Linked DNA regions of Oryza sativa Japonica Group. The protein of the gene in region 1 interacts with the protein of each later gene in a pairwise test. Links are inferred from orthologs where the notes say so. Each region holds a gene or a part of one and is shown in the gene's direction. Other genes may lie near its edges.

Region 1 (5,990 bases):
AGCAATGAATGTGTCAGCAATGTGCGAAAGGAATACTGTAAGCGGGTGAAAGTTAATATTGTAAGTCAACATATAAAGTATGCCTTCTGCAAATGAATGCAAACACATGCAGAACATCTCGTAGAAAATGTAGGTCAGCAAATAAGGACCTTGCAGCTGCAACAGCATGTCCAAATTCGTGAAAAGCAATAGAAAAAACTGTTGATGCTATGATTGCTGCGATGTCCATTATTGATATGCCAAAGCTGGAAGCCTGCAATAGATTAAGGGCATGCTGAATGGTTGATGTTAGAAGTTGAAAAATGAAGGGACAAATTGTAGTCACCAGTAGATTTTGTAGCCAGGTACTAAATGACCGACCACTGAAATAAACTGCACCAATTGAGTCCCACAATAGCATCTGAAACATGCAACAGACCACAGTACATAAACGTGCACATTTCAAGGCAAGTACAACATATGAAACTTTCCAAAATTTTAAAGAAAGGATGAAGACCACTACTATCCCAGTGATATCCTACACAGTTCATAAAAACAAATGTCGAGATTGATAGGGTGTGCTGGCTGTTCTAACGATTTAAGCAACAATGTCAACAGATTCATGATATAGGTAAGGTAATGAACATTTTTTAGTTGGCATACGTATTTCAGAGTATTGGTAATTATTCGACACTGAACTTACCACTGATATTCCAACTAAAGCAACAACAGAGAAATAAACCCCTGCAGAAAACCATGCTCTCATGTATCTGCCAAAAAGAAAGTTAACTAATTTACCATAACTTCAAATATCTTGGCATCAGCATAGTGAGCAGCAAGGAAACTATCAATATGGTTACCCCATCAGATTACACCTCCCCAAAGGGGCATGAGCTAAAACTTTCAGCAACAGCGAAGAAATTTAACTCCAAATGGTACAGATGGCTCCTAGAGTGCATTTTTTCTCATTCTTTTTAAAGAAAAGAAACCTTTGCATCTTATGTACAAAAATGAAATAAGGTGCTAACTTGGCTATATTCTTGTTTATAGTATGTAAAAGTCCATGGGTAATTATATAAATATATTCCTCTTTTCGCGGGGAAAAAGGGTACAATATGCACATCAAAGAAACACTGAGTAATTAAAGAAGATAAAAGGTCAAAAGTTAAGATAAAGCATACCTAGCATATCTCCATCCCAAATTAAATATGATGTCATTGAAGGAATATATTTTGCAGTCACAGTACCTAAATTTTGTATAAGCACAGTAAGTGAATATAATAATCATTGCCTCCACTAATACAAAATGACAGGAGTAAACTGCATTGAAATATACAAGAAATTGAAGAATAAATGAAAGATAAAATACGTGTCCAACATCTCATGCAGTACTATATAGAGTCGAATGCAATTTTTCCATGATAAGCTGATAAGCAGATTTAAAAGGAACAGAGAAACTTGTTGTCCTGAAAATTAAAACCATTCTGCGGATGGCTAGATGCAGGGGAGACAATTCAATTTATCAGGATTAGGGCTGAGGATGAATGGTGTATCCCAACAGCAGGTCTGAACCAGTGAACCCAACAGGATACATCACTGAAATTTGGTAAATCGATACAACACACAAATCGAATTTTCACCAACTGTTGAAAGTGTACTACTAGAAGAATGGAAACTACAACATTGCCAACCCATGTTAAATTTCCAAATCAAGCTTTATAATTTCGCCTAACGGTTGCCCGCATCCTACAAGCTCTAAATCAAGCTCTGCTCTACAAGAAACCAATGTAAAAGTACTGGGAAAATAATTACGAAGAACGCAAGCATAGGCTCGATTTAGCCGCGACTTAGGGTTTGGTGAGGGTAAGAAGCTAACTAGTACTACTAAAATCTGACTAGATCGAGCGGTTTTGAGTCAGAATCTCTCTACTTCACTGACCAGCAAGAGACGGAGTGCTCGGCGCGGCGGGCGGCGGCGCTCGAGGGCAGAACTGGCGGCGCACGGCCACGCCGCCTGCTGCGGCCGACGCCGCCGATCATTCCAGCGGCGACGGCGACGGCTTGGACACGGCAAGTTTTGGGGGGGGGGGGGGGGGGGATTAACTGCGCAGGGCGGAAATCTCAGCCGTCCGATTCAGATCGGAGGGTTCATATTAGCGATGGATTCCACTACGCCGACTGCTTTGGCTGATTGGCTCTCGCATTGTCACATTTAGCAAAGGAGCCCCTCCAATTTCACCAGATTTACATCTCCACCCTCCTCCTCCTCGTCTTCTTCCTTCCTCTTCCCATTCTGCTCGTCCGTCTCCGATTCGCAGCCACATCGACAGATCCAGCCGCGCCCCTGATCCAGTGGTAGCTCGAGCGAGGCTGCTATCACGGTGGAGGATTTTCGTCTGATTCGAGGAGGAATCGGTCGGGTCGAGCAGAGGAGCGGAAGAAGAAAGATTGGTCGGAAGGAGGAGAGAGGTGGGGATGATACTTCTCCAGTCGCCGTCCAGGTTCCTGCTCCAGATCCTGCAGGATCGCGTCCTCAGGTACGTCGCTGCGCGGCCGACCATCCCCTTTTCTTGATCCCGCTCGTCGCCCTTAGCTCATGCGGGTTTTGTGTGGTTTGCAGTGGCGACAAGGGCGTGGACATCGATTGCCACACGGTGGAATTCGACGATGTGCGGTATCATATCCAGGTAAGTAGTACCGTACTGCCGAATCTGGATATCCATTCTTGTGTGCCGCCTTAAGATTTAATGTTAAAATTGAGCTTGCTATCTATACATTGCTGCATGTGTAGAATGTGTTATGCTATGTTAAATATTTCGGTGCAGAGCTTCGTTCAGTTATTGGTATGTTGTATGCACGAAAATAATACCAGAAACACCTGAACTAAAGAACTGACCTGTTTTCTGGTGCTGAATTGCTCCACGATCTCATGCTATCCAAGTCATTGTTGCTACTGTGGTAATGAAATTGTTCTATAATAATTTGGTAAAATTGGCATCATATATTGGAGTGGATTGTATTTCACCTTCTAATCAAGATAATGAGGCTGCCCGCATATCTTTTGTATAAGCAGCCTTCCATAATATTGGTGATCATTTTCACTTATGAGCATATAATATTATACCTTGCTTGGAGGGTTCTGTATTTCACCTTTAATCAAGATAAACTCCTTAGAAGCTTAATTATCATATTTCCTTTTTCTTTTATGAATTTATTGAACTCTTGACATTACTTCATTATACATGTTTTGGGTGTTGGGATCAACTATTACCTGCTTCATATTTGATTTCCTAATGAATGCTGGTCTTTGGTTCCAGTTTTCTATGAGGAATCCAAAGGTAATGGTGCTATCAGTAGCATTGCCCCTCCCACCTCCTGAGGCCATGCTATATGATGGACTTCCACTTGGTGCTATCGAGGCAATAAAGGCAGCTTATGGACCAGTCGTTCAAATTCTTGATCCTCCAAAGGATGGCTTTGATCTCACAATGAAGATAAACTTGACAAAGCTTCCGCCAGATGAAGGTTCTAGAGTTCCCTTTCCAAGGTTACCATTGTCTTGTTGTGCTACATGATTGAATTAGATGATGGTTCTATGTACCTTGAGATGTCATCCATTGATAGAACTTTGGTGCAAGCTAATGGTTAGAAATGGATTCATCGTTTACAAATAGATGCTTTACGAAAATGTCAAATATGTTATGTATAGTGCATTTAATTATCATGGGCTTCTCAGACCATAAATTGGCTAATTGTAGAATCTTTTAGCTATATGGATTGATTTTGATGCCTTCTGTAAATGAAAGAGAAATGGAAGTCAGTAGGTTTTGGGCAGTCCATTGAACAAGTCCATTTCTTGTTGATAGAAGGAATTCTCATATTTCTGTTATACTGTCAGACTTCATATATTTGCTTGTAGATACTTGCACATATTCTTCCAAACATGGTAATGGATCAAATTACTGTTTGTGATTATTTATTTTGGTCAGGCCTATCAAAATCATGGAATCTCTATGTGTATCTTGTAACCATTATCCGGCTAACACTTTAATGTATTCCAGAGCAAAGGAATGCTGTCTTGACTCAAATTGCATCTGTGAGAGAGGTGGTGCTGGGTGCACCACTGAAACTTCTGCTGAAGCATCTAGCTTCAAAGACGGTGGCTCCTAATGTTGACAAGCTTGTTGCTCTTGTTCACCGTCCTAATGAATCCTTTTTCGTTGCTCCCCAGGTATAAATTTGAGAACTCCTATAAATGTATCTATCATACTTCAAAGCATAGTTTTCCTTTGGCAATGAACAGCTAGGTAGGTTCTTAGATATATCAATCTAGATTAATCTATTTAAGAGTTATGTATTTGACGTTTACTTTCAGTTCATACAGTCCATGAGATTAATTTCTTTTTCACAGGCAGACAAAGTTACAGTAGTATACCCTATGAGGTTCCAGGATTCCATTGATATAGTTTTAGCAACTTCCTTTCTGCAGGTATTTTGGACACTTCCTTCTTGTCTCTTTTATCTGCTTCAAGCAATTCATTTTCTAGTTTTTTTATGATCATTTATAGACATCTTCAACAAACCGATCTTTAGGCATTTAGCACTACTTTCATTAAGACTTGAACGGATATATGCCTTAACTTAATGGTTTTGTGAAAGTTTGTCTTGAGGCCATTTCTTGATGGCATAACCATATTATGAGAAGCAACTTATGGAAGGACACAATATGATGGGGCAGCTCTGCCTATTTTGTTTTAAACTTTTCTGGTTAAATCTAGGAATTTGTGGAAGCAAGGCGGACTAGCGCTCTTAACAACGCCCCTTCCTGCTTGTGGTCTCCAGTACCACCTCTTGAGTTAAAAGGAGTACCTTCTGATGCACTAAATGCAAATGCCGGTTTTGTTACTTTTGGTAATATGCATTTAAGCGTTTTCTTCTGTTTTTCTTTTCTATTGAAGACCCCTTTTTTGTCTCACTAACTCATCTTTATGCAGTTGTTTTCCCGCGGCATGTTGAGGGTAAAAAATTGGACAAAACAGTTTGGAGTTTGTTGACTTTTCATGCTTATGTAAGCTACCATGTGAAGGTAAGGTCCTTTTTTCTTATGTTGGCTGATCCATACTTCTCAATTAATCAAGTCCGTGCATCTGTCATCCATAATTGTGAATCAACCAATTGCATCCAATGCGCAGATTTTCCATCAATGGGTTAAATTTGGCTTAGTGAAGATGAAAATCCATTGTTTAATACTGAGCTCTACTGTTATGGACTATTTCCAAGAAGATAATATTCTTTTGGTTGCAAATGGCCCCAAGGAACACACTATTTGGATCTTTTGACCAGATTCCTGCCAAAATACCATCAAATTTTCCTAAGTCTATTCTGGGTGAATTTTTTTTCCAAAGATGAAAAATATCTGATTTGCCCAAGACAGCTGATATTGCTATTGCAGAAAGCCACCTTGGAACAAATTGGAACATTTTTCTTAAGCCACCTTCAGCATGGGATTTTAAGATTTTCATGATTCAGTAGTTGACACGGTACTTTATTGGGACATATTTTAACCTTGCCACAGTTCTCTTGTGCTCGCTTGTGAAACATTTCTCTTTGGCTTATATACATGATTTTTACTCTTCCATGACTTGTGGTTTTTAACTTCACAAGTTCTCAGTCCCTTCTGTTTCCTGTATGGCAGTGTTCTGAAGGATTCATGCACACCAGGATGAGACGTAGAGTTGAGACGCTGATCCAGGTAATACAAACATATCCGTACTAAATTGATTTCCTTCAATATATCCTATGGATTATTTGTTACCTTTATTCAGCACCTTTCGCTCTCAGCTTTGAGTGGTTGTGTAGCGGCAGATGCGGGTTTAGTATCATGAAACAAATAGACTACAAATCATTGCTGTTAATTTCAGTTTACTGGTTTTTCCTTGCTAAAAGGCTGAAAGCTGGTGATGCACCGAGACCACCTGAAATAAACTGATAGGCCATATCACTCCATGCCT
Region 2 (5,782 bases), on another chromosome or scaffold:
GGAGGGAGTAGAAGACAGTTGCAATTTCTTTCATATCTGAAATGGATAATGTCGCCGGTGCCGTTACGGAAGTTGTGAGCGCACGTCGCCGGACTTGCGCTTTTGGATGGTTGCGAGGAATATTCCGTCGTCAGCAGAGTAGATGCCTGAGCCGCGCGGCGACGGCGGCGCGATTGGCCGGTCGGCCGGTCCAAGTGCTTGGGCCGTTTCGGGAATCTCGTCATGCCGACCCATGGGAAAGCTTTTCTTACTTCGCTGGGCATGCGTATGCATATGCATGTGTCGCTGCCGCCGCCTACCGGGATGCTCTAGACGGTTGAAGAATTTCAACAAGGATATGCAGTCGTGATCTCTCTCTCTGCTTCTTTTTCTGCTTGCGTTTGCGTTTGCATGGCTAAAAAATTCAGCAATGGAGGCGCAGCGCCACGTTGATTGTTTCATCACGTTGCTCTCCTTTACTTCTTGACTAGGGAGACTGAGAAATTTGCAGCTAGAATGGGCAGATTTGAAAACTTATCTGAAAATTTCATAAAATTCCGTCCAAAATTGCTCCCGTCGGCCGATCCACGAGACCCATGGGCTGGATCACAAGCCACGTTGGGCCGGGCCGTATTTTTATCTACCAAGAAAAGCACCAAGTTGCGGGCAATTTTTTTTAACGACTCTGAAAAATTTTTGGATCTCGTGGTCGTAACAAGAAAAAAAATTATACCACCACACACATACCGACAGCTCTAAAATACAAACACAGAAGAATACTACCATCAGACTAGACGCTGCTAAGAGTGACCCGACCGCCACTAGACAATGTTGACGGCATTCCTCTTCCTCCGCCGCCATTGTTCTCTGCTCTCTGCTTCTGCTTCTCTCTGACAATGTTGACGGCAGTTGCGGGAAAAAATTGTTCAGTCCCTAGAAAAGAAAAAGGCCAATTTAGCTTTCTTATATATACTTGCTCCATTTTGTTAATATATTGACACCGTTAACTTTTCAACGCATGTTTAAGGGGTGGATCAGGAACAAAAAGAAAATTAGGGAGGGCTCAATTACGTAGTTTCTTCAACCTCCAGCCATTTAGGAACTTTTAGTCTATCATTCATGATAAAAAAATCGAAGGAGGTATTCTAAGGGTATCCATGCGTCTTGTGAGTGTAGGGATAACTCAATTCTCCCTGCATCCACGTTGGATCCGCCCCTGCATGTTTACTCATTTGTCTTATTTAAAAATTTTATGCAAAAAATATATGATACATGAATCATGTTTAAAGTATTTTAAATGATGAAATAACTCACGACAAAATAAATTATAATTACACAATTTTTTTCAATAAAACGAATGAACAAGTAAAAAAATTAACGATATCATCGTATATTAAAATACAAAGGTAGTAGCTCGAATACGAGTCATATTCCTCAACCGCAAAAAAAGATACTACTCCCTCCGTTTCAAAATGTTTGACGCCGTTGACTTTTTAGTATATGTTTGACTGTTCGTCTTATTAAAAAAATTATGAAATATGTAAAAATATATGTGTACATGAAAGTATATTTAACAATGAATCAAATGATATAAAAAGAATAAATAATTATTTAATTTTTTTAAATAAGATAAATGATCAAACACGTACTAAAAAGTCAATGGTGTCAAACATTTCGAAACGGAGGGAGTATATCACTGTTTTGAGAGTGGTTTGCACTGATATTTCCCCGGTTATCTGAGCCCTTGTGTTTTAGATGAAGGGCCCAGATTAGGCCTAACGCACCACTCTGCACTGGTAATACTTCCGTGGATCCGCATCGTCCTCCTTCCTTGTCGAGCCGAGCAGCGCATCATCTCCATCCCGCCTCAACTCCGCCGCTCGATCGCCTCCACCCGCCGCCGTTCCGTCTACCTCTCCGACCCCCGGCGGGCGCCGCCGCCGCCGCCGCGCCTACCATGGTAACCTCCTGCCCCCACCTTATCCCGTTCCCTTTCTCTACTTACGCCTCTCTCCGGATCTGGCCTCTGGGCCGGCGCCGCATTTCCCCTTTCCGCCCACCGCGACGAGGCCTCCTGGACCCGCCAGATCTCGCCTCGAAACCTGAACCCTTCCTCTGGTCTACTCCACGGTATATTGATGGATCGACGGAGCCCTTCCGATAACCGATCACGGATTCTAGAAGGATGGGATGAGATTGTTTGTCGCTTTGGTTCGAGATTGCATTTTTTTTTTAAAATCAGATTATTTGTGGCGTTTGCTTTGGAAGTATGGGTGAGTGCTCATGTGTTTGTGCTATTGTAGGCTAATACGCTGCGATTGTATCTCACTTGCATAAGGAACACTCTGGAGGCTGCCATGTGCCTGCAGGTCAAGGATCACCATTCCTTTGCATTCTGATCACCATGTTCTCCATGCTGAAATTTGCCTTCATAGATCATTTTCTGTCTTCTGTCCTCCATGAGTGTAATTTAATTTGCGTGTGTGTTTGCTTTACCTCCAGAATTTCCCTTGCCAAGAGGTCGAGAGGCACAACAAACCGGAGGTGGAGCTAAAGTAAGTCGTGCTTCAAACTGAATTTTGTTTATTCAATGCTTTAGTTATGACCATGACCAAGAGAAAATGTTGCACTGATGTTTTAGTTTGAGAAACTGGACTTTCAGCATGTAGTCGAAAATCAACATATAATTCACTATTGTAATGCAATATAATGTATTGTAAAGAGAACGATCTTCTTCTCCTTTTTTTTTCCTGTGCATTTGTTGGGTTCTGTTTTCCAAGGTGTTTCCTCATGAACCCATTCTCTAAACAGTCATAAATTTTTCCAAGTTAATTTCATAAGATGTATACAAAAGACCACCAATTCTATCATTGGCTCCTTTTATCCTTTATATATTTGTGGGAACCCTGTATTTCTATGTTACCACACTTAGTGAGAATAGACACTGAACTTGTAATTATACACGCCAATGCTGACTAATATATTTGGTCTAAAACATATCTTGCTATACAAATATTTTTTTCCTGTAGGGTTTCATGATTTCCTTTTGTTTTTATACCCTTCCTTGAAGTTCGTATACCTCTATTCTTCCCTCACAATTTATTCTTATTGCTTTTTACTTCGTTTTGCAGGACTAGCCCTGAACTTCTGCTGAACCCAGTAAGGAATCTCTCAGCATCATCTCCAATTCAGTCTATGATTCACCTGATTATTTAACACACTAGTGTAGAATTTTGATTTAATGACTCATTAATTACACTCAATTCACTTCTAAGTTAAAATATTTTCTCTACTGGATTATCTAGGGTACGCCAGAAATCACATATGCTAGAAGCAAATGCTACTCCATTAATTAAGTGAAAAACTGACAACACATGATGACGGAGTTCTGATTTTATCTTTCTAACAACACATGCCATTGTACCATGATGGAACTAATGTATTTTGACATTTGTTTCAAAAATTGTTGTCAATGTTTGCGCCACGCTTATGACTATGATACTTTATGATTTAAATACATGCGTATAAGGAATTTAGGATCGAAGGTGAACAGTGCACTTTGACATAGAGTACATGGCATAAGGCAGGAGCAGTTTCTGGTGACATGTCTGATATCCCTCATATTATGTGACCCTTATGAACTCTACTAAATTTTTTGTTGAAGGTGACTGATTTAGAATGATCTGCTGCCGTTTGGCTGTTTACTGGCAGATATAGCCTACGCCATTCTCCAAATTCTGCTTGTTTGGAGAGAAATTTTCTCTAGATGCCTCTAGTCTCTTAAGAATTATGACTCATAGAACTATAATATTTTCCTTCAAAACAGGTGCTCATTTGCCGTAATGAAGCAGAAAAGTGTTTGATAGAGACTTCAATCAACTCTATTCGTATTAGCATGAAGGTAATCATGAAATTATGATTGGATATTACTATGCTTATTGGGATAATATCAGTCAATCATTTGTCATCTGGTATACCATCATATGTTTTTCTCTTTATTGTTTGACAGGTCAAACAGGCAGATGAGCTAGAAAATATTCTTGCAAAGAAGTTTCTTAGGTTTTTATCAATGAGAGCAGAAGCATTCCAAGTGCTGAGGAGAAAACCAGTTCAGGTGGTTTTCCTTCTTGATGATCTGTTTCAATGCTCTTTAGCCAATTTTATACGTTTTCTGTTATCTGCTGAAAGTATTAGGAGTAGACTGCATTTTGTCAAGTCAGAGCATTGCATGACATCACTGGTCTAACTTGGTTTTGTTCATTTTCAGGGTTATGATATCAGTTTCCTGATAACAAACTACCACTGTGAGGACATGCACAAGCATAAGCTCATAGATTTCATTGTTCAGTTTATGGAGGTAAGGAAAAATGTTTTCCTTGGCTTTCCCATTTGCTACAGTTTGTGACTTTATACTCATATCACATATTCTGATTTGTGCTGTAGGACATCGACAAGGAGATCAGTGAGCTAAAGCTTTCGGTAAATACACGTGGTCGGTTAGTGGCAACTGAATTCCTGAAGCAGTTCATATGACACATTCTTGGCGATCTTTGGAAAACATAAAACCCTAGCATTGTTAGCTATGCTGTCTTGGCCTTTGGCGAGCAAATCTGGAAGGATCTTTCCACCACTTTGTTTTCCTTTTGTAAATGCGTTGACAAGGATATGTGAATTCTTGATCCAACTAGACCTCATTGGCAGCTAAAATCTGCCCAGGCAAGAGAGATGAGGGGAAACAAAGTCATGGTCAGTAGGTTGAGATAGATTTTTTGGCCTTTTGGTTCAAGAATCCTGTACTGTGCCGGCCAAGTTTTATTGGAATGTGGAATGTCAAAATTGGGGCTGATTCTGATTCTGATATGTCAAAATTGGAATGTGAAAATCAGAGACGCTTGTTGTCTCTGATTCTGATTTCAGTTCCATGGCAGGCTGCCTTAGCTGCGTAAATATATTTCACTGTTCAATCTATTAGCCTCAACAGTTGCCGTGAATTCCTGGTGAAGCAATCTATTTGTGCATACATACATGAATTTGACCAAGCTAACTGTCAACATCTATGCATGAATGAACATCTCGACGATGTGTCGATGTCCACGAACGTCGTTAACCTGGAGAACAAGATGTCCATGCAGAGACAGAGGAAAAAAAGGTCAAACCACCCCTTGGCCAGCTTATCTCCAGCTCCGGCTTCAAAAAAAGGTGTCCGCTTCACACGCAACGGATCGAATGTGCTTAACTTTTATGTGTGATTCATTAGCAGAAAATCTGAAATTTTCAGTGAAGGAACCAGGGGAAGAAAGGGCTAAGGTTTTCCCTATACGAAGATTTGTTTAGCTGCTGATGAATTGATTTCTTCACCATATGGCCACATTAGCTTCACTGTGCATACATACACGCATGATAAGGAGAAGAGAGCCATTGTTGTTGACTGAGAAGGAGATACGCATGCATTCATGTGGGTGGAAAAATTGAGGTTAAATGGGGGTCGGAGTTTTGTTCTCCGACCCCTTTTGCACCTTTTGAAAATGGCGTTACTCCTTCAAGCTCGCTGTCGCCGCTGCGGTTCGTCAAGAGTGCGAGCTAACAATGGCGGCAATTCAGGCTTGCAACATCTGAAAAGAAGGCTTGCACAATAAACCAGAATACATACTGAGTTTATTCAGACAAATTAAACAATCCATCGAATCCCGATTTCAGCAAGCTAGCAGAGCATTAATTCATTTCAGTAGGAAAACTTATCTTCCGTTTCAGATCAACAGCTCTGCATGGTGGTATGCAGCATCTGAAAAGAAAGCTTTTGCAT

What was found. The genes of interacting proteins can lie anywhere in the genome.
Region 2: the proteins of actin-related protein 2/3 complex subunit 2A (region 1) and actin-related protein 2/3 complex subunit 4 interact in binary tests that used the Arabidopsis thaliana proteins (3 or more experiments, as listed by UniProt). The link is inferred for Oryza sativa Japonica Group from reciprocal best matches to the Arabidopsis thaliana genes DIS2 and ARPC4.

The regions. Positions count from the first base shown.
Region 1 is NC_089035.1:27,107,424-27,113,413, forward strand, and holds the start of actin-related protein 2/3 complex subunit 2A, read left to right. Parts: upstream 1-2,278; 5' UTR 2,279-2,454; coding exon 2,455-2,516; intron 2,517-2,599; coding exon 2,600-2,666; intron 2,667-3,296; coding exon 3,297-3,504; intron 3,505-4,040; coding exon 4,041-4,210; intron 4,211-4,390; coding exon 4,391-4,468; intron 4,469-4,757; coding exon 4,758-4,890; intron 4,891-4,973; coding exon 4,974-5,065; intron 5,066-5,674; coding exon 5,675-5,731; intron 5,732-5,990. Other genes in the region: membrane-bound transcription factor site-2 protease homolog, read right to left, coding at 150-274, 326-400, 683-749, 1,161-1,226, 1,919-2,019. UniProt on the Arabidopsis thaliana protein: Functions as actin-binding component of the Arp2/3 complex which is involved in regulation of actin polymerization and together with an activating nucleation-promoting factor (NPF) mediates the formation of branched actin networks.
Region 2 is NC_089037.1:36,641,159-36,646,940, forward strand, and holds actin-related protein 2/3 complex subunit 4, read left to right. Parts: upstream 1-1,812; 5' UTR 1,813-1,936; coding exon 1,937-1,939; intron 1,940-2,282; coding exon 2,283-2,348; intron 2,349-2,481; coding exon 2,482-2,534; intron 2,535-3,110; coding exon 3,111-3,138; intron 3,139-3,805; coding exon 3,806-3,880; intron 3,881-3,988; coding exon 3,989-4,093; intron 4,094-4,246; coding exon 4,247-4,336; intron 4,337-4,422; coding exon 4,423-4,512; 3' UTR 4,513-4,899; downstream 4,900-5,782.